Caenorhabditis elegans: one gene and its partner. The protein of the gene in region 1 purifies or fractionates together with the protein of each later gene. This does not show direct contact. Each region holds a gene or a part of one and is shown on either strand. Other genes may lie near its edges. The genes, in order: lys-7 and M116.5.

What was found.
Region 2: the proteins of lys-7 (region 1) and M116.5 fractionate together in Caenorhabditis elegans (co-fractionation; one large-scale study listed by BioGRID). This does not show direct contact.

What each region holds. Positions count from the first base shown.
Region 1 is NC_003283.11:3,476,994-3,486,562, forward strand, and holds lys-7 (Lysozyme-like protein 7), read right to left. Parts: upstream 5,608-9,569; 5' UTR 5,607-5,607; coding exon 5,362-5,606; intron 5,195-5,361; coding exon 4,918-5,194; intron 4,818-4,917; coding exon 4,488-4,817; 3' UTR 4,439-4,487; downstream 1-4,438. Other genes in the region: srbc-31 (Serpentine Receptor, class BC (Class B-like)), read right to left, coding at 1-334, 385-461, 509-603; srbc-30 (Serpentine Receptor, class BC (Class B-like)), read right to left, coding at 1,038-1,184, 1,229-1,327, 1,376-1,486, 2,839-3,304, 3,359-3,453; srbc-33 (Serpentine Receptor, class BC (Class B-like)), read right to left, coding at 6,098-6,253, 6,344-6,544, 6,597-6,958, 7,530-7,606, 7,653-7,747; srbc-32 (Serpentine Receptor, class BC (Class B-like)), read right to left, coding at 8,678-8,830, 8,880-8,984, 9,030-9,131, 9,182-9,543.
Region 2 is NC_003282.8:8,411,425-8,425,542, reverse strand, and holds M116.5 (Calponin homology domain-containing protein), read left to right. Parts: upstream 1-4,481; 5' UTR 4,482-4,534; coding exon 4,535-4,637; intron 4,638-4,682; coding exon 4,683-4,744; intron 4,745-5,069; coding exon 5,070-5,159; intron 5,160-5,239; coding exon 5,240-5,317; intron 5,318-5,457; coding exon 5,458-5,631; intron 5,632-6,042; coding exon 6,043-6,105; intron 6,106-6,463; coding exon 6,464-6,580; intron 6,581-6,730; coding exon 6,731-6,919; intron 6,920-6,967; coding exon 6,968-7,333; intron 7,334-7,473; coding exon 7,474-7,662; intron 7,663-7,744; coding exon 7,745-8,113; intron 8,114-8,239; coding exon 8,240-8,431; intron 8,432-8,509; coding exon 8,510-8,875; intron 8,876-8,926; coding exon 8,927-9,046; intron 9,047-9,470; coding exon 9,471-9,808; intron 9,809-10,381; coding exon 10,382-10,585; intron 10,586-10,907; coding exon 10,908-10,950; 3' UTR 10,951-11,278; downstream 11,279-14,118. Other genes in the region: T26A8.3 (Transthyretin-like family protein), read left to right, coding at 204-304, 354-411; M116.1 (F-box domain-containing protein), read right to left, coding at 13,376-14,118.

The DNA of each region.
Region 1 (9,569 bases):
CATTTGTTAATTGCACATCCAAACTGCTTACATGTATCAGGAATTGAGTTCACATTGAATTCACAAAACTTAAATAGAACAACATCCTCGAAAAGACCGTATGCTATGGCAACAAGAAGGATCAAAAGATTCGGAATTTTCAGATTAACAGTCCTGTACAGTATTGGCAAGCAAACCGCAGTCGCTCGTTCTGCAGCAATTGCAAGTGCGAGTATAGAACGGCAAGATGCGGTGTTCGACCAAAAAAGACCCAGATAAGTAAGTAAATTTCGGTGCTCAATCATGAATTCGGATTTCTCCGAGAATATTAGGATAAAGCTTATGTAGGACAACACTGAAATTAGGGTTTATTTGAAGAAGGAAAACTGAATAAATTATGCTCACGTGCCAAGCCAAAACATAAATCTAGTGCAAAGCGATAGTAAAACAATCCCATTTCACATTTTCGCTGTGATTTTCTTCTGAAAAAGTATTTTGATGGGGTTGTGTACAGTTGTCATGAACTCACAAAACAATTTTCCAAACTAAATTTGTGTTTAGCAATACTTCAATACTTGCGCAGACCATACCAGTGAAGCATACTAATAATACGGCTGTTTTCATTATACAAAATTGTTTCTGGAAAATATGCGAGATTAAAAAAAAGGTCAGCAACTGACATCTCACAGGTCTTCAGAAAATAAACGAGCCCGTGAGATGTCGGCCGTAATGGTTCTGAAAGCTACATTAGCAAGTTTCTACCAAGAACTAAATTTACATCAGTTTTCGACAATGCTAATAAATCTGATTTATTAGTGAAAAGATTTATTACAATACCACGAAAAAATTATTTGCTCAGTTTTCCGAAATCTGTAGAAATTTATTAGGTTCAATAAATCCATTAAAAACAATTTTTGCATGTCAATCTGTAACCTCTGAGCAACAAAAAACTGAGCAGCCGACATTGAGAGAGGTCCTCTTGCCTTTAAATTTACCAAAAAAAAATAGAAGGGATGTGATTTTTTTAAAATATGTATAAGCAATGATGATTTAAATCGTTATTTGACATTTTTAGATAGTGTGACCGCAATTGAACTCTGATTTTTCGGTTTTTCAATTCTTCCGAACTTCAAGAGAATCGAGACGACAGTCGACTCAATGGCGCATCCAATGATTTTCATTACAACTGTGAAAGGACCAAGAACCTGGAACGAACGAATTTCTATCTGAAACTGGAGGTCTTACGTACTTCAATTGAGAAAATGTGAGGCCACATGCCGCCACAGAAAACTGGGATAAAGTCGAATAAGAAGACTGTACAGGTGTCCAGTAATGCGAGACGATTCGCCTGAAAAATTATTTGAAAAGTTTGGTGGAAAAAGTACGCTAGCCTTACTTTTGAAAGTTTATTATTGTTTTTGTGTTGTTGTTGTGACTGTTTTTTATTCCAAAATAGTAATTTGATGGATAGAACTATAGATACAAAAACGTTGATAGAAAATACAATCTGAAATTCGAGAAATTTTTATGGATCTTGTGAGATGAGATAAATATGTTCAGGCTTTATACAAATAAGAATTTATCTTGGTTTTACACAGCCAAGATATTGTCGGCTGCTCTAAATGTTCCCATACTCAGACAGACCGGAGTCACGGCTGAGCGACAGAAAATCACTGCTAAGTAGCAAAAACTAGTAAAACCATAGATTATCAGCAGAGAACCACTGCTACTTAGCACACCACCGCTAATTAGCTAAAACCCACTGCTAATTAGCTAAAAACCACTGCAGAACATTGATTATTGATTTTATTTTGTTTTTCTTCGTCGTATTTCCCATATTTCATTTTCTCTACCTTTTTTATTGTATTTTTTGTGTGATATGTTATCAATATTTGTTAATTGTTAAGTCCAGTGTGTTTTTCGAAGATTTGTATCATTCCAGGCTAGAAAAAGAGGATTATGGTCAGAAATCCAAGAACAACAGTTCGAAGATTTTTGAATTCAGCACCCCGATGTCTTCTTGTTAAAAGCGTGACAGTACAGTTACGCTAGGAAAATTTTTTTAAAAGTTTTTATTGTGTCTAAATAACTACTTTCAGACCCGACGGACAATAATCATGGTGATCACCAGCCGGGAAACAAAGGTTCATTCAATTACTCTCCTTCCAAGTGTTGTGAATATGCTGTTCAGGAATCATCTCAAAGTCCGATTGTAGGTTTATTGTTCTTTATTTTAAAAAGCCAGCGAATATAAGTTTTTAACTTGAAAAAACAATGTTTTCACACTTTTTTGCAGCGATCATGCCCGTGGTTTGTATCGAACAAAACACGACGACCAGATACCACCAAAAATTGTGCTGCCAAAGCGTCCGATCATCGATTGCCAGCAATTCTACCAGAGCAGCGAGGATATCGATGAGGAGCAAGTTCCATCAACTTCGAACGCCGCATCAACTTCAAAATCTGCTGGCAAGTGAAAAACCCCCAGACTTCCCAGAAATTCACTAGTTCTCCTGTTTTCTGATACTTTCAAAACTTGTTTTTTTTTTGTTTTTTTCCATTCTGCGTTAAATGTTTTTTCTGTTGTTTTTTTTTTTCATTTTCATAATAAATCGTGTTATTTTTTTATGGTTTTATAAAAGTTTGGCTCTTCGCAAAAACAAAACTAGCTAGCTAGAAAGCAGAACTATGTAGCAAAACACCACCGCTAATCAGCGGAAAAGCACAACTACTGCGGTTGACTAAGCCGTGGCACAAATGCTGATTAGCAGTGATTTTCTGTCGCTCTGCCGTGACTCCGGTCTATCCGTATACGGATGGCAAAACCGTTAAGTGTCGGCTGCTTGCCCTCAGACTTACACTTCTCTGGAGCATGAAGTAATTGTAGAAGCATTTATTAATTGCACATCCAAACTGCGTACACGTTGCAGGGATTAAGTCTTCATCAAAGCCACAGAACCCATAAAGAACAACATTTTCAAATAGGCCATATGCCACAGCAAATAGGAAAATACAGAAATTCGGGATTTTCAGAGTAATAGTTCTGTATAATAATGGAACGCATACTGCAGTCGCTCGTTCTACTGCAATTGCAAGTGCGACTATAGACCGACAAGAGGCGATATTTGACCAAGGAAGGCCCAAATAAATTAGCAAATTGCGGTGCTCACTCATGAACTCCAAATTATCAGTGTTTATAGTGTTTGGTTTTATTTGAAGAAAAATTATTGTAAATGAATTATGCTCACGTGCCAAGCCAAAACACACATCCAGTACAAAGCGATAGTAAAACAATCCCATTTCACGTTTTCGCTGTGATTTTTTTCTAAAATAGTATCTTAATTTTTTAATAGGTAACATGTAGAAGTAATAAACTTACAAAACAATTTTCCAAACTAAATTTGCGTTTAGCAAAACTTCAATATTTGCGCAGACTATACCAATGACGCATACCAATGCTACGATTGTTTTCATTATGAAAAATGTTCCTGAAAGATGTAGGAATTAAGATTCGGTTGCTAAAATGTTCGGGGGTTGAAAAACAAACTAGCTTGTATTGCTAAATTTACATCCGGTTTCCAAAAAGCCAACAAATAATTTGTTTGATTTATTACTGCAAAAATTTATCACGCTTAAAAAAGAGGTTTAAGTTGTAAAAAATCCATCAAAATTGGCAACAAAATTCAGAAATCAAACTGCAGATACTGCAGATATGTAACTATGATGGTTTGAGCTGAATAAAAAACTTGCTAAATATTTTCTGCGCCGAAGAAGGTGCGAGCTAGACAGTTTTATAAAATTTTGAAAAATTAGGACATTAAAAGAAAAGGACATTCTGAAATTTTAGACCAACCGACGAGAACTATTTTTGTCTTTTAGAGTTTTATTTTGAAAATGAATCCTGTTGACTATCACGGGATTGACCACCAGACTCTATTCGGAAAATTCTCTTTTGTTCTGAGTAGATTTAATTCTTTTTCACAATGAGTTCAGGTTTTTTGCCACTTTCACAAATGAATTCCATTTAATCAGCTTTAACACGTTTTAAAGTTTTTAAATAACCTTCAGAATTAAAAATTAGATAACTGTTGAAGATATTTTTGCCCCAGTTTTTGATTAATTTGATTAAGCTTTGAGATTTAAAAATAAAGTTGAATTAAAAAATTCTTTAGGTGATTTGCTGTATGAGAAATATACATCCGAAACAAAGATTCCACATACATTTTACATTTCATTAAAAAACGGTTTGTGATGCGTAGAATCTGTGAATAATATAGGTCCAGTGGAGGGCGGCAAACAATTTTTCCCGGCACATTGCCGGAATTGGAATCAAAATTTCCGGTAAATCGGCAATTTGGCGATTGGCCAAATTTGTCTACAAAAAAATTTGCTGAGCGACAGTTGCCGCCCACCGTATAGGTTCCAAGCATTGTTTAAAAATCGGGTTTTTAATGTATGTTTTATTTGCTTAAAACCTTTTTTATTAGAGGACGAATCTTAAGAAGTTATCAAATTTTCAGACTTCCTTGCACAAATCCTCCAGCATAAATCTTCCCGTCTTCTTCAACAGCCTTGAGCACATTTCCAGCTAGATAAACATCTCTGTTGACAGTGATACCACAGACTGTCTCATCTTGCGCAAACTGCTTGACAGATGGAGCTGTCCAGCATCCAAATTTACGGAAGTCATTGAAGTTGGCAGGAGTTTCTCCAGTGACTCCACCGCTGTACACATTCCAATACCAGAGGAGAACATCATTTCCAATGTTGCTCCATCCGGTCGTGATCTGATTCCAGTCGTAGTAGGAGGTGTAGATTCCGACAGTTAATCCGGATTGCTATAATAATTTTGCTGTAGATTTATAGAACAAGCGTACTACCAGCATACTTTTTTATTAATTTAAATATCTCAATATCTAAATTCTACAAAACACTCACTCTGGCTCTGGAGACAATACTGTTGATGAAGTTAATATTGCTATTCGCGTTATTTGGCCAGTTAGTTGGCGAAGTGACCTGAATCCAGATTGCTCTGACTGTGATCGCTCTTGCAGTCAATCCCTGGATGATCTCATCCAACTGTTGGTAGCCTTGCTTGTTTGAAACGGGCTGTGGAGTCATATAAATCTCAATTCCGAGTCCAGCTTTATAAGCATTTTGAATAGTGACGCAAGAGCTGGTGTCAAAGGATCCTTGTCCTGCTGGGTTGTATGCACTGGAAATTAACGATACCTAGGGTTTAACCCACCAGAACTCAGATCTTGACTATTTACAAGTACTACTTAACACATTTCGTTTGGGTTCACAAATTCAGTAAGTCACCTTAAAATGAAAATTCTCTGCGAAAAACTAGTTGAAAAATCTCCTCCGTTCAACTCTTACCGAACGAAAACTGCACAATAACCCGCTTGTTTAATGCATTGCAGTTGGCTGAGCGTGGTTTGGACATAAATATCCAAGGCGTAAGCATAAGATGCCAAGTTTGACGGCACATTTGGAGCAGGCTCCGCAATGACTTCACTGAATTTGACTGGAAGGGATGAGTCAACAATCGGGGGAACCTTGACTGATGCCGAATGGCAGAGTACTGCAAGTACTGAGAAAATGACAATCGATTTGTGGGCCATTCTGAAAAGTTTTAAATTAAAATCTAGAAATGCATTAAAAAAGAAGAGACAAATTTTTTGAAAGAAGGTGAGTAGCAACCAATATTTATACTGTTTACTTCAGTGTGCTCAAAACGGCGTAGTTATCTGAAAATCAAATTTTAAGCTTTTTCGGAAAAGATTACCACATCAACAAACTCTCCTTATCAGTTGCTCTTCACATACTTTCGTGTGATTATGTTGCTGAAAATGAAAAACACATGAAACACAGTGTCGATTACCGGAAATATGATGACTTTACTTGGTTCACATTTTCATAAACACCTTGATTTTTTGATTTTTTTTTTAATTCTCGTTTCACAATGCTCAACATAAAAAAATTTGAGGCTTCCAAAATTTATTTCGCCGTAAAAAATGAAGAATTTACAAACAATTTTATACGAATTGCTCTTAGAGGTGAAACTTCAATAAAAATAAATACGATAGTTTTAATTGTGAAAAAAGTATTTATTTCATGTTTTCGAGTATCTTGACGATGCTTTTCTAACCGCCACGTTCTGAATACTAACTGAATTCTCATCTTTCCTAAGCACCAAAAGTCTAGATACAACTATTGATTCTATGGCGCATCCGATGATTTTCAGTACTGAGTTGTAGGGACCGACGACCTGGAAATTGGAGTTTTATTTTTGAGGTAGAGCTTGTTGCGGTTGTTGCGGCGGAACCCGTGAAACGTCTGCCGCGGCACAAAAACCCACATCAAATGAAAAAACTGGTGCAGTAGGCCACATAGTCCCGCAAAATGATGGAAGAAAATCAAATAGTAGAACCACAAAGGTGTCTAATAAAGCTAGCCTATTGGCTTTGGAAATTTGATTGCTAGATTGCCCATTAGTATTCCAGATAAATAGTTTTATAGATATCAGTATAGAAAACACCAGGATCGAGAAAAATATTATCTGAATTTAAACGAAAAGCTTAAAAAAAATTATTTTAAACTATTTTTCTTACACTTTTATGAATTGTCCAAAAGCTGTAGAAACAAGAGTTCACCGCGCATCCAAATACTTTACAGTTTGATGGGATATCCAGTTTGTAGTCGCAAAACTTAAAGAGCCATATCTCCTCGGAAAACCCGAAAGATATGGCGAGCAGGAAAATAAGCCAGTTTGGGATTTTGCTCCTGGTTGTACGGTACAAAATTGGAAAATATGCGGCAATGAACCTTTCGAATGATATTGATAGGGCGATTGCAGATCGGCAGGCTGCAAAATGTGACCAAGGAAGCGCGGAGTATACAATGAAACTGTTGTAATTGACCATAAATTCGGGAAAATTCATTGACAGAATAGTGTACACAATATTGCAAAACACTGAAAATTGAATTTTTTAAATTAAAAGTTTGAATTTCCCGCAAAAACTTTTTTTGCAACATTTTGAATTTCCTGACATGTTTTTTTTTTCTAAAATTTCAACTTCGCGTTAAAAATTTTTTATCATGAAGTTTGAATATCATCCAAAATTTTAACTCAAAATATTTGAAATTAGCGCCAATATGTTTTCTCAAAAAAAAAAAGTTGAATATTCCCCAAACCATTCTGCAAGAAAATTATTTTTTCTCAAATATACTTAAACTTTCGGCAACATGTTTTATCAAAAAAAAAAAACATTTAAATAATTTTTTTTCACAAAATTGAATTCCGCGCCTAATATTATTTTTTGGTGAAATTAATTGAGCAACATTTAAAAATTTTGACATCATTTTTTCGATTTCTGCAAAAAAACTTTAAAGAAAAATAAAAATTTGAAGATCCGGCTATTTTTCATCCAATTGAAAAAAAATTCTCGCTGGAATATCGGGAATTTTTTTTCTAAAATTTCTATTAAAATGATGAATCATAGAATTTTCATGGAAATTTTCAGCTCAACAACCTCCACACTTACAAAAAGTGCCAAAACATGTGTCCGTTAAAAATCGATAATAGAACAACTGCATGTCGTCATTTCGATTCGCTTTCTTCCTTAAAAAGTTAACATTTTTCGAAAATCTAGTCATTAAAAACTCACAAAACAATTTTCCAAATCAACCTCGCATTCAATAAGACAGTGATAAAACCACTTACAGCTCCAAGAGAGCATATCAAGTAAATTATCATATCCATAGAAATGTAAGTCAAAGAATAAAAATCAAAAATTTATGATAAAAATTAATATAAAACGAGAACTAAGAAATACTCAATTAGGTTTGCCAGAAGGCGTCCAACTCCTGGTAATTGGATTCCAAAATAACAGGAAATCAGTCAGAAACATGTCTATAATTTGAAAAGGAAACGTACACATAATTATGATGACTAAACTCGCGTAGATTTTAGTAACATTGCTACCAAAAATTCTAGTTTCAAACATACATAGTAAATACAATATTAAAATTGAAAAATTAATGATTTCTGTTTGCCAGTTTTGGGTTAATGAAAAAACGTTCCAAAATTTTTAGTTCCTAAGTTTTCTGTGATTTGAAGTGGTATGGCTATTGTTTTAAATATTGCAGCGGACATTTTCTGGTCCGCTGCAATATTTAAAACAATAGCCATACCATTTTCTGGGTCCACTTTTGGAACAGAACATGAATCACCCAAGAAACATTGTTTTTGCTTTTTTGCTTTCGATACAGAGCCAAAATCTAATTTTCATTCAAAAAGGCAATAACAAGTCTGGCAGCGTAATTATGACAATTCAGGAATTTTTCCTCTTCAGAGAATTGTTATGGTGCAGTCGACATCGATCAAAGTCGGAGTTCACACTTGGTGTCACGCTGTCCCATCGAGGTGTGATTTTCAAAAAATACCGGAGTGTTTCGCGTGAAAAATGTGACGTCAGCACGTTCCTACCCATGCGAAATCAGTTGGGAGGTCTGTGTTTCAATTCCCGCAATTCTTGTAGATCTACCTTGTTCAAACCGGAATGAGACAATTTGCCGTCGATGGAAATTTTATTTTCGGCCGCATTTTTGCGTCACGATGTTTGCACAAATAAGGTTTTCATGAGACAATTATTTAAAAAAGAGCACAACGCTAGTGATTAAAATCGAACAATTATAAGGACGAATTTCTTGAGACTTTTTGAAGTATAGTTGTTACAGTACTTGCTGCAACTCCATGATCTTTTTTCAGCAGAAGTCTGGAGACGAGGAACGAGTCAATTGCACACCCAGTGATTTTAGAGACAGCATTGTAGGGCCCGACGAGCTGGAAAATGTCACAAATTTTTTCTATTAATTGTTGCTCAAAAACGTACATCAAAGTTGAACATTGGTGCTGTAGGCCACATGGTTCCGAAGAAAGATGGGACAAAGTCAAAAATGAAGACAGTGCAGGTGTTCAGAAGGGCTAGTCGGTTTGTCTGGAAGCTTTTGGATTTCAGATTTCGAAAAAAAAATTAAACTACCTTCGAAAGATGCTTGCTGCTCTGTTTGCCTTTGGAATTGTTCCACACAAACAATTTCACTGACAGCAATATAGAGGATACAAGAATTATGGCAAATATTATCTGAATTTTAGGAATTCAGATATTTGGACTCGAAAATATTTATAGCTTACAGTTCTGTGAGCTGTCCAAAAGTTATAGAAGCATTGATTCACTGCGCATCCGAATGCTCGGCAGTTTGGAGGAATGTCAAAACTGTAGGAGCAAAATCCGAAGAGCACAAGCTCTTCGGATAGGGCAAATGCAACAGCCATGGAGAAAATGGAAAAGTTCGGAATTTTGTTCCTAGCTGTTCGGTATCTAATTGGAAAATACGCAGCGATGAGTCTCTCGAGTGAAATTGCCAGCGCAATTGCAGACCGACACGTGGCAAAGTTGGACCATGGAAGGCCCAGGGTCACTATGAGACCACGATGATTACTGAATAAGTGGGGTACCTCCATTGTAAGTATCACAAAAATAATGTAGACGAGCACTTAATAGATCAAATTGAAAAAAAGG
Region 2 (14,118 bases), on another chromosome or scaffold:
GGCATTAGGGCTGGCATCCAAAAAAAAAACCAAAAATTATTTGTCTATGTGAGACATGTAGGCAGATAGTCATGAGGCCTGAACATGTTCGGCATGTTGGAAGGTATAAACCAGAGTTATAAAAATAAATTATATAGGCAATTTTTAGGCAGGTATAAAGGAAAGAGTGCATGTATATGTTTCGCTCCAAGTTATAATTTCAGGAAGTCTATGAAATCTTCTTTGTAATTCAACACGACTGTACTCCAGACCGTCAATTAATTAATCAACGAGTGTCAATGACCGGATTCCAAGTTATGAATGGGTAAGAAGATAGGAATACTTGTTCTGCTTTTATAATATTCACATTTCAGACAATTCTATCACACGCTGGATATCGATTTGCAGAAGAGCAAAAGACGATTGGTTTAAAATTGAACAGAATGTAAATTAAATGAACGTTTCAAGCAAGCATTTAATCATAAAATTATCGATAAAACGGAAAAGTTATTCTTTTAAATTATAAAATATTTCTAACTAGTAATTTAAGAGATACATATATTTTTAATAATGGACTTTACTAATAGTAAGAAGCTTGCTATCAGAATCTTCATAGTAAAGTTCTGGAAAATATACCGTATTTCTTCTATTAATATAGCTGCAATACTATTTTTCGATGGTCTTCCCGCTTGCAATACTAATAGGGAGTGCAAGACTATTAGGGAGTGCAATACTAATTTTCAGAACATTTTCTGACTTTGAGCTTACTAGTTTTTTCCTGAAAAAGCTCGAATCATATATAAAAATTCAGAAAATTTGATTTTCATATAATTTCAAAAACTTCAATCTCGTAGAAATGATGTGAAAACTGTTGCAAAATAGGCAAAAAATGTTGTTGAAATCCTGAAATTAGCGAGACGGGTTTGCAATACAAAAAAGTTAACGCAAGACTATTAGAGAGTGCAAGACTAATAGGGAGTGCAATACTAATTTTCGGAAGGTCTCCGAGGGGCAATACTAATAGGGAGTGCAAGTCTAATAGGGAGGCCATATTAATAGAAGATATACGGTAGCTGGGCAGAAAATATAAACTTACAGTGATAGGAACTGGAAGATCACCAATCATTGCTCACATACCGATTACAATTGTTTTCTTTTTTTTTCACTGTTGTAATTGTGACCTGGGAAATTTAGGACTTTGTAAAATTCATTTTTTGAAATCAAAATTTTCTAATGGTTTACCCCACTTACCAGTACAAAAAAGTAGAGCAGAAGCGGTTCAAATATGGAAAATACGGAACTTATTTGTTGTTGGTTCATTTTATAGATGCAGTTATATTCGCTCTAAACTTTGTTCCAAATATACTAAACTACAGTATCCATTACACGAGCTTGTGGATGAATAGCAATAGATGTATCAAGTATTCCGAGTAAATCTTTTGAAGTTAAAAGCTGTTAGAAATATATTCCAATTTGATCGACTACATCCAATAAATAATATTTGAATTATGAGTGGTGTAGTCAAAACATCAATCAATGCTGTCCATATTATAAAATCAGTTACTCGGAAAATACCTGATCTACTATATAAAACATAACATATAACAAAAGGTATTATAATCTGAAAAACAAAAAAAATGATTTTTTTCGATTTTTGCGTAAGGACTAACCGTTTTTGCAAGCAATGTAACAACAGCCTGCAATAAAATATATTTTTGTAAATATAATTGTTGCTCATTTTGTGATTGACCATTAGTCCGGAAACTTAATAAAATTGGTAAATACAAAATAGGTGATATTATCAAAAATACAAAATTCAATAAGACGAATAATATCTGAACAAGAATAAATTAATAATGCAATTAATCAGTTGTAAACTCGCCTCGTATATAATAATGATTGTATTGAGTGCATGATGGGAAGAAGTATAGGAGCAAATTTTTTAAGGATACAAGAAATATGAACGTATGAAATATTTCTACAAAAACTATAAGTATAAATCCAATTAGAACAAACCAGAAAAATGCAAAAATGTAAAGGAAACCGCTGGAAAGATGAGAATTAAACGAGGAGCATACTGTTATTTCAGCACGATTGTTCCGTTTACCATTGAAATCACGGCTGGGAAATTTTTGGTTTTTTTTGTTTTTTGTTTTTTGGTTTTTTTGGTATTTTGACGAAAAATCGATTTTTTGGTTTTTTTGGTTTTTGGGACCAAAAAACCAAAAAATAAAATAAAAAAGTTTGCCGTTCCTAGTTTCGACTCGAGACTATTCTTTATTAAAATACATTAAAACATGTATTTTAAGACAGTTGTGACGTCAGAAATGTATTTTGATACATTTTGAAACATTACTGAATAACCCGATTAAAAATCAACTGAAGCATAAAAAATTTTTTGGTTTTTTTTTTTGGTTTTTTTGGTTTTTCGAAAACTTCAATTTTTTTTTTCTTTTTTGGTCCAAAATTTCTTTTTTGGTCCCAGCCCTGATTGAAATGCCACAGAGCCGAGCGCCGTTTTCAGATTTATTTTTATTATAATTTTCATTGTATATTTTTTTGTGATAAGAACTAAAAAAAACAGCCTCAAACTTTCAAACGGTGCCCGGAACGATCGTTCTGGCCCGAAAATATTCCGGAAACATACAATGAACTTGGTTTATAGTAACGAATCAACCTTACTCCAAGCATAATTATTATAATGCATATAATTAAAAAAATGAATAAAAATAGGATCTTATAGTCATGTCATAGAGATGATGAACAATCTTTGGGAAAACCTGAAAAATCAGATAGTCCGGTTACAAATTTCCATCCTTTTCCAAAACATCTAAAGTACTGTCGCATATTCAAATTGTTATAATGTTTACAAAAAAGATGAATATTTTAAACATACAGTTTTTTCTGACATACAATACTTAGTGTCAGACAATAATTAGATGAATTAGAGAGTGCAAAATATCCATATTAATTTTCGAGCAAGTTTTATCTGTTTCTTCCATTGAGTAATGACACCATTTCATCAGTTTCAATATTACGGGGACCATAAATTCTGAGAATTGCACAACATATTTGACAGAATAGCGAAGACTACAGTAACTCTTTAAATAAAAGTTTAAACAAAAGTAAAAGTTTTTCTAATACTATTAGGTCCAATTAAGAAATTTAAGAGTATTCAATTGAACTTCAGCAGTGAACAAGAGTGTTCGTACACCGATAGGTTCAGGCAGCCTGGCAGGCATGAATTATTACGTAGTTCGCCTCAAACAAAGGCAAGACCTACATTTCTTGGACCTTTCGGAACTACATGAAATTTTTAAACTTTATGATAAATTTTAACTTTTGCAATAAATTTAACTGTTTTCTGACGACGATTAACTTTGTGGACATAAATATAAAATGGAAATACTAGAAAATGACTGAAGATGACAAATAAGAAACTTAGTTTTGAAATTTTTGCATTGATTATTTTGAGAAGTCCGTCGTCATCCAAAAACTGCGTATTATTCATAATTGCTGTAGAACATATAAATTCCAAACTACTCAGCTGAAGGCTAAAGGTATGAAGGTGGAAATAGTTTTATCACCTGTTACATGCCGGAGAATTGACTAAAAATATTTTCTCAGCCAAAATTATTGTTTTCTTCTTAGAAATTCATTATGCCTCAGACTTGATTTTTTGATATCGAAATTCTGCCAAAGAAATTCAACTGGGTTTTCAATATTTCTGGCATTTTATTTGTTTTACCACTGAGCTTCAGTGTTCCATTTGTAGATTTTTCAGTTTTCCGTGAGAATTTAGTCAAAATGCGCAGAAAAACTTATTGAAAGCTGAAGTCTATTTATCATTTTAATTGTTGACAAGGGTTACGGTAAGCGACCGCAAGTCCGCAAGCATCGTCACGTCACAGTGCACAGATAAATTTGTTTTTGAATAAGAATGTTTGTTGCTCTCGTCTTTTTTCTTGTGATTTGTATTCATCTCTCTAGGTTTTTTTCGAACATTTTCTACCACTTTCTTACGAAATTGTTTAAAATATAGCTTCATGCTCACAAATTACTAGTTTTCACTAGAATCCGATTTTGGGTGTATTTTTTCCGATATCTAAATATTTCCATACAAAAAATCGAATCTCCTGGCTCATGTTCAACGATTTTCGAATTTTTGATGCTGTCCGCGCTTTCTGTCTCTCCCTAACAAACGGTATCAGAGTTATTTTTGTCAGAAACGATTTATACTGATTTACTCGGAATAGATTCGCTTCAAAAACACGACCCTTTATGGAAGTAAGTGTGATACCAATTTTCTGAGTAAAAAATAAAAATTTTTGGAAAGCAGAAGCATTTTTTAATCAAAAGAAACGTTTCCAAAAATTTTATTGTAGTAAGTAGCTTGGATTGCTCTAGCGAAAATTTAAAGTTTCAAGTTTTCTCTATATTGTGCTCTCATTTTCATATTCTATCTCAAACTCTACATTTCTTCTTCAAAATGTTATTTTCAGAGTATATAATCATCTCAAGCGTTTCTCAATTGTTATTCACATGAATAAAAGAAATGGTTGGAGAAAAGAATCGTAGTCAACACAAAATCGATCCTTCTGATGCTCAGGAGAAAGATATTTTGGATCATTATGAGCTGAATAGGGGAAAATTTAATGGTAAGCGTAACGTTTCCTGAAAACTAAATCTTCAATATTTTGCAGATGTCCGGGACACAATGCAGAAAAAGACGTTTACAAAATGGGTTAACAAACACTTGACCAAGGTGATTTTTAATTTTGAAAAAATGCTCGAGAATTTATGAAAAACCAAAAAAAAAAGGTGAAAATGCTTGAAAAATGCGAAGTTTCGCGGTTTACAGAAATTTCAATTATTTTTACACTGAAAACATTTCAAACACATGAATAAAAATCAGTTTGGAAATTTGTTTTTTCTCGAATGAATTTTTGTATTGAATTGTTGAAATTCGGATTTTAAAAATATAGACTTTTGCTAAAATAAACCAGATTTAGCCTGAAATCGACAAATAGACAACGAAAACATTATAAAATTTAGCTTACATCTTGCCATTTTTATGTCAATTTTTTCAGACGGATCACACAATCGTCGATTTGTTTGTCGATTTACGGGACGGGTTTGCACTGATCGCGTTGTTGGAAGCTCTTACTGGCGAACGAATTGTGAGTTTTCGATTTTTTTAAAGATTATTCGCCTGAAATGCTTGTTTTTACTGAAAAATTAGTGTTGTGTTATTTTACAGCAAAGAGAGAACGGCTACACGCGATTCCATCGGATTCAGAATGTACAGTACTGTCTAGACTTTTTGAAGATGAAAAATGTAAGTTTTCTGGAAAGACAGGCTGAAAAAAAGACGAATATTGTAATTTTGGTTTCACGAAAAAACTTTTAAAATTTATTTTAGCTGAGTTTTCTTTAACAGTTAAAAAAACGAAGGAAAATTTATTGGAAGTTTTTCAGATCAAACTAGTGAACATTAGGCCGGAGGACATTGTGGAGGGAAATGGAAAACTGACACTCGGACTCATTTGGACAATTATTCTCAACTTCCAGGTTTCAGTGATTCGTCAACGTCTTCTTTTGGAATCTTCACAACATGAACAAACGAATGAAAAACACACAACCAACTCACAGGTGTTTTCCTTTTTTTTAATTAATGTATTTAACAAGTTCGAAATGGGTTTGGAGGGGGTTAGAGCTGAAAATTCACTAAAAAATTGAAAAGTTTCCGATATCTACGAAACGCGCATGCGGAAAACGTAGTTCAAACTATCCGTTTCTGGCAAAATTTGCTTTAAAAATTGGAAGTTTATAGGAAAAGTTCTTACTTCACCAAGAATTTAGAGATTTTCTGAAATTTGCCGAAAGATTCGTATTTTTTTTGTTTGAAGTTTATCAAGAATTAGGATTTCTCGATTTTTTAGTTTAGTAGTTCATGCCGAGAGATTTTCTGAGTTATGCTGGATATTTTCGAAAAATACAACCCAATTCGACATGCTAATCTTACTTAAATATTGACGAAACAATCTAATTTGTTTTTTTCAGGACTCCATTCATAGAAGTGAAACGACATCGGCGCGCGATGCATTGCTTCAATGGGCCAAACGGGTATGAAATACAATATTTTCATAGTGGGCTCCAAGAGCTCGAGAGCTGGAAAACATGGAAAAAAAAACATTAGTTTGTTCTTACAAGCTGGTTAATTATTTGAAAATTTTCATGTTACTGTATTAAAGATGATGATACAAAATTTTGGTAAAATTTAGGATTAGATCTAACTTGGGTTTTCTTTTCGAAATTTGGAACATTGAACATTTTCCGTAGAAGTATCATAAATACAAAAGTGACGTTCCGCTTTCAGACACAGTTTGAATTTGTATAAAAATCTATAATAAACTATTTTTAAATGTCATCAGAGTACTGTAAATAGTAAGTTAATTTAGTGCCTGAATATTTTCCTTTTCAGACGACTGCTGAATATCCACGTGGGAATGTGATTAACTTCTCGAATTCATGGCGTGATGGACTCGCCTTCAATGCAATTATTCATCGTTATAGAAGCAGTGCTATCGATTGGAATAAGGTATTTTACATTTGTTGCGAAATCAGTTCTAGCGCTTTTTTAGAAATATGTACAATTGTTTTTCGTCAAATTTGTACTTTCTGAAAGCACACAATCGCTGGACACAAGCTATAGATTGTGTTTCTATTTAATTATAATCTTGATTTACAGATCAATTCGGATTCAGTTTCCAACACGGAACGATTGAACATTGCTTTCGCAGCAGCGGACCGCGAATTCGGAGTCGAACGTCTTCTTGATGCTGAAGATGTCGACACAAACAATCCGGATGAGAAATCGATCATCACATACGTTTCATCGCTTTACAATGCTCTTCCACAGGAGCCAGAGATGAGCAAAGTGAGCATTTGGTTTATAGCCCTTAAAATCGAATTTTCAAGTTTTCAGTTCGCCGCCAGTGGTGGAAAGCGCCTCGAAGAAGAGATTGGCAAGCTTCAAGCGGATGCTGATCACATTTTCGAAGCTCTCGCAGTAATATCCAAGGATGAAGCTCTCCAAGAAAGCCCGTCATTGCTTCTGGTTTCAAAACAAGTTTCCAAAAAGATTGAACAATTGAAAGTATTGTTGAAGCTAGTTGAAGAAAAAAAGGATACATTTATTTCGAAGTGTAAGCTCGTGATGAGGACGGCTGGGCCTGAATCTGATGCGAAAGAACTGGATTCTTTGATGAAACATGTTGAAGACGCGTATTCAGATGTTTTCGAATTGATTTCTGATAAAGAAGGACTAATTGATCGATGCAATGCTTCTAATGTTAGTCGTTAGACTGAAAAATATATTTAATTCATTAGAGCCCCATCATTGCCTCTTTAAACTAAATATTCGTGTGTCACACACGGTTTGTTGTTTCACAGAGAGTTGCGAGAAGCAATCCAGTATCCAATGGTTTACAGATAAATTCGGACTCAGTTCCCAACACTGAAAGCCTGAACCTCGCTTTCGCCGCAGCGGACCCCGAATTTGGAGCCGGACGTCTTCTTGACGCCGAAGATGTCGACACAAACAACAATCCGGATGAAAAGCCGGTCATCACATATGTTTCGTCGCTTAAGAATGCTCCACAGGACCCAGAGATGAGCAGAGTGAGCATTTGGTTTATAACCCTCGAATTCGAAATAAATCCACACGAAAAAGCTAAAAACATGCTAATGTTCAAATTTTCAGTTGGCCGCCAGTGGTGGAAAAGGCTTCGAAGAAGAGATTGGCAAGCTTCAAGCAGATGCTGATCACATTTTCGAGGCTCTCGCAGTAATGTCTAAAGATGAAGCTCTCCAAGAAAGCCCGTCATTGCTTCTGTATTCCAAACAAATTCGATTCAACAAAATTCAAAAATTGAAAGAGTTGTTAAAGCCAGTTGAAGAAAAAAAGGATACATTTATTTCGGAGTGCAAGCTCGTGATGAAGACGGCTGGACCTGAAGCAGATACGAAAGAACTGGATTCTTTGTTGAAACAAGTCGAAGACGCGTATTCAGATGTTTTCGAATTGATTTCTGATAAAGAAGGACTAATTGATCGATGCAATGCTTCTAATGTTAGTTGTTAGGCTGAAAAATATATATTTCATAAGTTTGAGTCCCATCGGGACTGATAAGAGCCTTTTAAACCTAGGCAGAGACTAGAGATTATGTTTCTATTTAATTATAATCTTGATTTACAGATTAATTCGGATTCAGTTTCCAACACGGAACGATTGAACATCGCATTAGCCGCAGCGGACGCCGAATTTGGAGCCGGACGTCTTCTTGATGCTGAAGATGTCGACACAAACAATAATCCGGATGAGAAGTCAATCATCACATACGTTTCGTCGCTCAATAATGCTTTTCCACTGGAGCCAGAGATGAGCAAAGTGAGCATTTGTTTTATAACCCTCAATTTCAAAAGAACACATTAAAAGCTAAAAACATGCAAATGTTCAAGTTTTCAGTATGTCGCCAGTGGTGGTAAGCGTCTCGAAGAAGAGATTGGCAAGCTTCAAGCGGATGCTGATCACATTTTCAAGGCTCTCGAAGAAATATCCAAGGATGAAGCTCTCCAAGAAAGCCCGTCATTGCTTCTGGATTCAAAACAAGTTTCCAAAAAGATTGAACAATTGAAAGTATTGTTGAAGCCAGTTGAAGAAAAGAAGGATACATTTATTTCGGAGAGTAAGCTCGTGATGAAGACGGTTGGGCCTGAATCTGATGCGAAAGAACTGGATTCTTTGATGAAACATGTTGAAGACGCGTATTCAGATGTTGTTGAATTGATTTCTGATAAAGAAGGACTAATTGATCGATGCAATGCTTCTAATGTTAGTCGTCTGAAAATACCATACGTTTGACTGAAAAATTGAATTTTCCAGAGAATCGCGCATCCACAAACAGAGACTGAGAAGATAACGAACGAGATCGAGCTGCTAAAAGAGACGTGCAGCTGCTGTACTCCATATCAAATTGAGAAGATTTCCGAGAATTATTATAGGGTACGGTAGTTGACATCTAATGGGGGTTACTGTAGTATTTATGTTTCGGGAAAAAAACACATTTGTTGGTTATTTTTGCAGCGTTCAAAAAGCAATTTCCGAGGTTATTATTTTTCGAAAAAACAATCGAAAAAACAATGTTTTTTTTTTTCAAAAATTCGAATAATTAAAAATTTTATGACAGCCCAAAATTTCAAAAAAAAAATTTTACTGAAATCTCAAAGTTTGTCATCTTTTTCATGTCTTTCCATGGGTCGTAAATTATTTTTTGTTTGAAATGTTTTAGCTAAAATTAGCCCTTTTCTCGAAATTTTGAGACATTTTTGAAACGTCCCAGTATGAAATTATGTTTCTTATTCTGCTGAATTTAAGTCTATACAAGCGAAAACACAAAACCATTCGTCCTATTTTAAAATTATTTCAGTTTGGAGATACCCATATCAAGAGAATGGTTCGTATCCTTCGATCAACTGTGATGGTTCGTGTTGGCGGTGGATGGGAGCCACTTGAAGAGTCACTTCAAAAACATGATCCATGCCGTACAAAAGGACGTCTCAATATCAATATGTTCCCAGAAGCTCGTCCAATTCATGCTCTTGACTTGATGCAATCGTTCACTAAGAATCGGCATGCCAAACAGATGCCCATTGCCGGAACGCCTGGACCAATTATGAAGATTCGCGAAAAAACTGAGAGAAGTGTTCCCATGAGCGGAGGACTCGGAGGAACCGCTGGTTACACAGTTACAACTGAATCGCCTAGGTAATTTATTATCATTTTAAATTATTTTGGGTTTATTCTGTTTTACTTTGCAATGTAGTAAGAATATGCATAAAAGTTACTATAAAGTTCCATTGAAAAATGCATTTTAAAAAATCTAAGAAAATACCTCAAAATTAGACTTTTTTAAATTTATTTTTCTGAAAAGCAAAAGATTTCCCGGTTTCGAAACGACAACTATAATAAAAATCGATGTGCGCCTTTGAATAGTACAGTAATCTCAAACTGTGGTATTTTTTTATTGTTTTTCGTTAAAAACTTATTTATTTATTTATTTATTTAAAAAATTAAAATCAAAGAAATTTCAAGAAATTGTGAGAAATTCTATGAAAATTCCGCAGTAGCGAGAGTTTCAAATTACAGTACTCTTTAAAGGCGCATACTCGTTTCAAACGAGTCGTTTGTATTTAACAAAAAAAAAAGTCGTGTCGGGACCGGGTACCGTATCTTTTTAGCAAAAATAACGAAATTTCGATACGACTGTTTTTGCACTCTTCTTCCATATTTTTAGTATCTTTAAGCTGAAAACATAAAAATTAATCTGAAAAATTGCAGAAAAACGCCTCAGCGCCCGTTTCGAATTCCACGTACTCCATCGGACAAGACCCCTGGACGCCAAAGCCGTGTTGGATGTGTCTCCAATTTGAAAAACTCGATCGTCGAACCGTCGTCACCTTCCCAATCCGAATCGCGAGCCTCACCTGAAGTCGCAGACCGTCAGAAGAGGATTTCATTGTCGTTGAAAGAAAAAGGAAAAAGGTTTTTAAAAAATGCAGAACGAGCCAAATAGATTTTTTCATGCCAGAAAGCTGGAAACTTCCATTTTTACTACCGAAATCAAATTAAAAATTAAGCATTTTGGTGGAGATACTAGGAATTTCTTTTGAAATTATCGAAAAATTGGATATTTAACTGCTGTTTCTGTGCTCCGACTTTTTCATAGAAGTGTTTGAGATTTCAATTATAATTGTTTTTTTTTTCGGCCAAAACTATTCGAGTTGGCAGTTATTAATTTTGTCAGGCTCTAAGCTTTAACTTGTAAAAAATCATTTAAAAAATTCAAGTAAAATTAGAATTTCAGATATTCTCCACAAGTGGGGCCGTCTTCTTCGACTCCGAAATGATGAAATCCATACGACAAAATTGTATTTTTTATTGTTATTTTTCTTTTGAATTGTTGTTTGTTTTCTTTTCATCTAGTGTTCCCATTTTCAATATATTTTCTCCTAAAAGTCAAGTTTCGGGCAGTCTACAGTTGTGCTCCTTTACCACATAATCTTGGGTTACTGTAGTTGGAATCACTTGGCTATTACTTCTCCTCTTCAAGTTGTTTTTTTCTAGACACCGGTACTCCCCTCTTCCGGTCTCGTTTATGTGAATATCATTCCGGATTATTTGTTTATTGATGATGTCTTTTGTTTTAATTTTAACAACTAAAAATCATATTCCAATTTCCTAAGACTAGAGGTGTCGATGGGTCTTTTTTTTTTTTGTGTTACAATCTTTTTTTTTTATTCAGATGTTGAAACGGGGGAAATAATTTATCTGTATTGTTAGATTAAGAATCAACCTGGGCCGCAAGACTACTCAAAGAAATATGACATGTTTTGAGGGACTTTAGTGTTGATAATTTTTTTTTAGTGTAAAACTCGAAGTCTTGTGACATTGAAGAAATCATTAAAGTACCTACAAAATTGAATTAAATTTCCGAACTATGACTCTGTGACTTCAGTTTATTTGAGAAATAGAAAAAAGTGATATTCTGCCAAGCAGCCTCTAATAAATGCCGAGTGTACAGACTCCGCCCCTTTTTCGCGTTTTTCGGGTTTTTTTTGGCTTGCGAAAAAATGTCCCACTTCGTTTTCATTCACAACTCCTGAACCGTGTGACTTCATGCTCTAATATTTGAAATCCTACTAGAAATATTTTGCCCCACGGTGGAGCAGAAAACGGCACTAAGTTCGGAGCAAAATTGAGCCCAGGGCGGCTTTCCCCAGTTTGAAAAAAAACATTTTTGCTCTTTTTACCCCCAAAAAACCATGTTTTAATTGAATTAAAATTCGGGTTTTGCTCGGTTTCATTTCAAATTCATGTGCAAGATACTACTCAGAGAGACTGATTTTTTGAAAAAAAGTTTGAGTTCATAAGTGCAAACGAAAAAAGTTGTGATAAAACAAAAGGCCAAAAAATGCCATTTTGCCAAAAAACATTTTTTTGCGAAAAAGTAGTTTTTCGTCTTTATCTCAAGTTCTACTTCATCTTTTTTGATATTTTTTTTGCTTACCCCACGTAAAAAAACACGCTGAACACGATTTTTAACTCAGAATTAAGAAAAGTTCTATGAGTCGGCCGAGCAAGACGAATAAGTGCCAAATTTTGCACACTTTTCCATTTTCGTGAATCTACTTTTTCAATCATAACTCGGTCAGTTTTCAAGTTTTCTTAGTTTTCTAAAAATTGACGTGTAGGTGTCTCATCAAGACGCATCGAGACATATAAAATTTGTAAAAAGTTCAGTGGGAAAATTTTTCAAGAAAAAATAATTCAAAAATTTAGTACTGGGGGGAGTGGTTTCCTGCGTCTCCTGAACATTTTATCCACTAATGTTTTGCGGAATGTATTTTTAATTCATAGTTTTTGATTTTATCTAATGGAAGATGAAGTTTCGTCGCATTAGCAATGCTCTGCCAAGAGATATTATTTTTTTTAATTTTCAGGCCAAAACTTGTTTTTTTTCTATACATCTGTCTGTGTACAAGATATAGCCCTCAACTGTACGTCTCCCTTTCGGGAATTTTATGATGAGTACAATGCTGTAATAAAATTTTCAAAAATTAGGTTTCTCGCTGACTTATCAGTGATAAACGGTTTTCGAACGTCTTTCCCCAAATAGTCATAATTGAAGAAATCGGAATCGAAAGACGACTCCCTCCAGAAATTTACCTTCCTTACTTCCAGTTTGAGGTCTCACCCACATGGCCGAGTGGTTAGTGCGTATGTCTGCGGAAATTTTGGTAGTGGTTTCAATTCTACCAATTGACAAACTTTTTTGTTTTTTTTTTTGAGTGTTCGGGATTCGAATACTATATAGAAATACTCGATTTTATACAAAATATGGGTACGTCTCCCCCCATATAAATCCTCCTCAAACTTCAATCAATCAAAACTCAGCTTTAACTGATTCATCGGGTGCGTCTGTTTTTGGTCAAACCGAACTCAAAAATCAAGAAGACATTGACCCACTGAAAATTTCACGAACCCTCTAACAGGTTCGAGGCGAAGCCGAGAACCTACGCCCGGCAGGGGGACTCGCCTTACACCCCCTACAACTGGCGGGCCCGCAGGGCCCGCTAGTCCTTGTTTAGACAGAAATATAGTAACAAGCACTTTATTAACAAGTGAATTAAAAAAATATATTAAAAAGAACAGGAGGGCGCATAAATGTTTTCAAAATTAATTGTCACATTCAAAATTTGATAGGGATATTGTGATATGAGGTTAATTCAGAAAAAGAGGTGCATACGAGGGTATGATGAACAGAACGAACAATTATTTAAGAATCTGATTCGAACTCCAAACAATCATTTCCGACATTGACTGATCTACAAAGATAGATGCCTTTCTTCCATCGATACATACAATATCAAATCCTCCAATGACACTTTTTTCCAACTCTCCAGGTTCTTGAATCAACATTTCTCTTTCCACGGGTGCAATACAGTAATCCACATTCTTGAAGATTATTTTACGACAATCGTCATTACTATAATGAGGACGTCCATGATAAAAACGAGAAAACTCTAATCTTCTGTTGGATCCGTGAATCCAATGTTTCAAGAAGAGGTTTACATCTGTCAAAGAAACACTCATAATTTGTGATTTCGGATTAAATGCCAATAAATCATTAAATGCCAATAAATCAGTAATTAATCTTATTGTTGCAGAGCGATGATTTTGGCAAGCAATTGAATGAATTTGCTTAGGATCATTGAATGGCAATTTATTCAAACGAATAGCTTCAGATTGAAGAGCAAACATTTTTAATGTTTTTTCATAAAAACTAGTCTTATAATGTCCGTAAAAAATAGTTTGGAAAGTTTCAATATCCAATCCAGCAAACATTTCGAAAATGTTCATAGTCTCGCAACGTATCGTGTTGTGTAAAGAAAGCTTCACCTTTGGACGGTGAAATATTTCAAGAATGTGACTAATGAACTGCGAAACATTAACTTTTTGATTAATCCACTGAGTGGTATCAATTGTTTTTTGACTATCAATGAATCTCAAAAAAG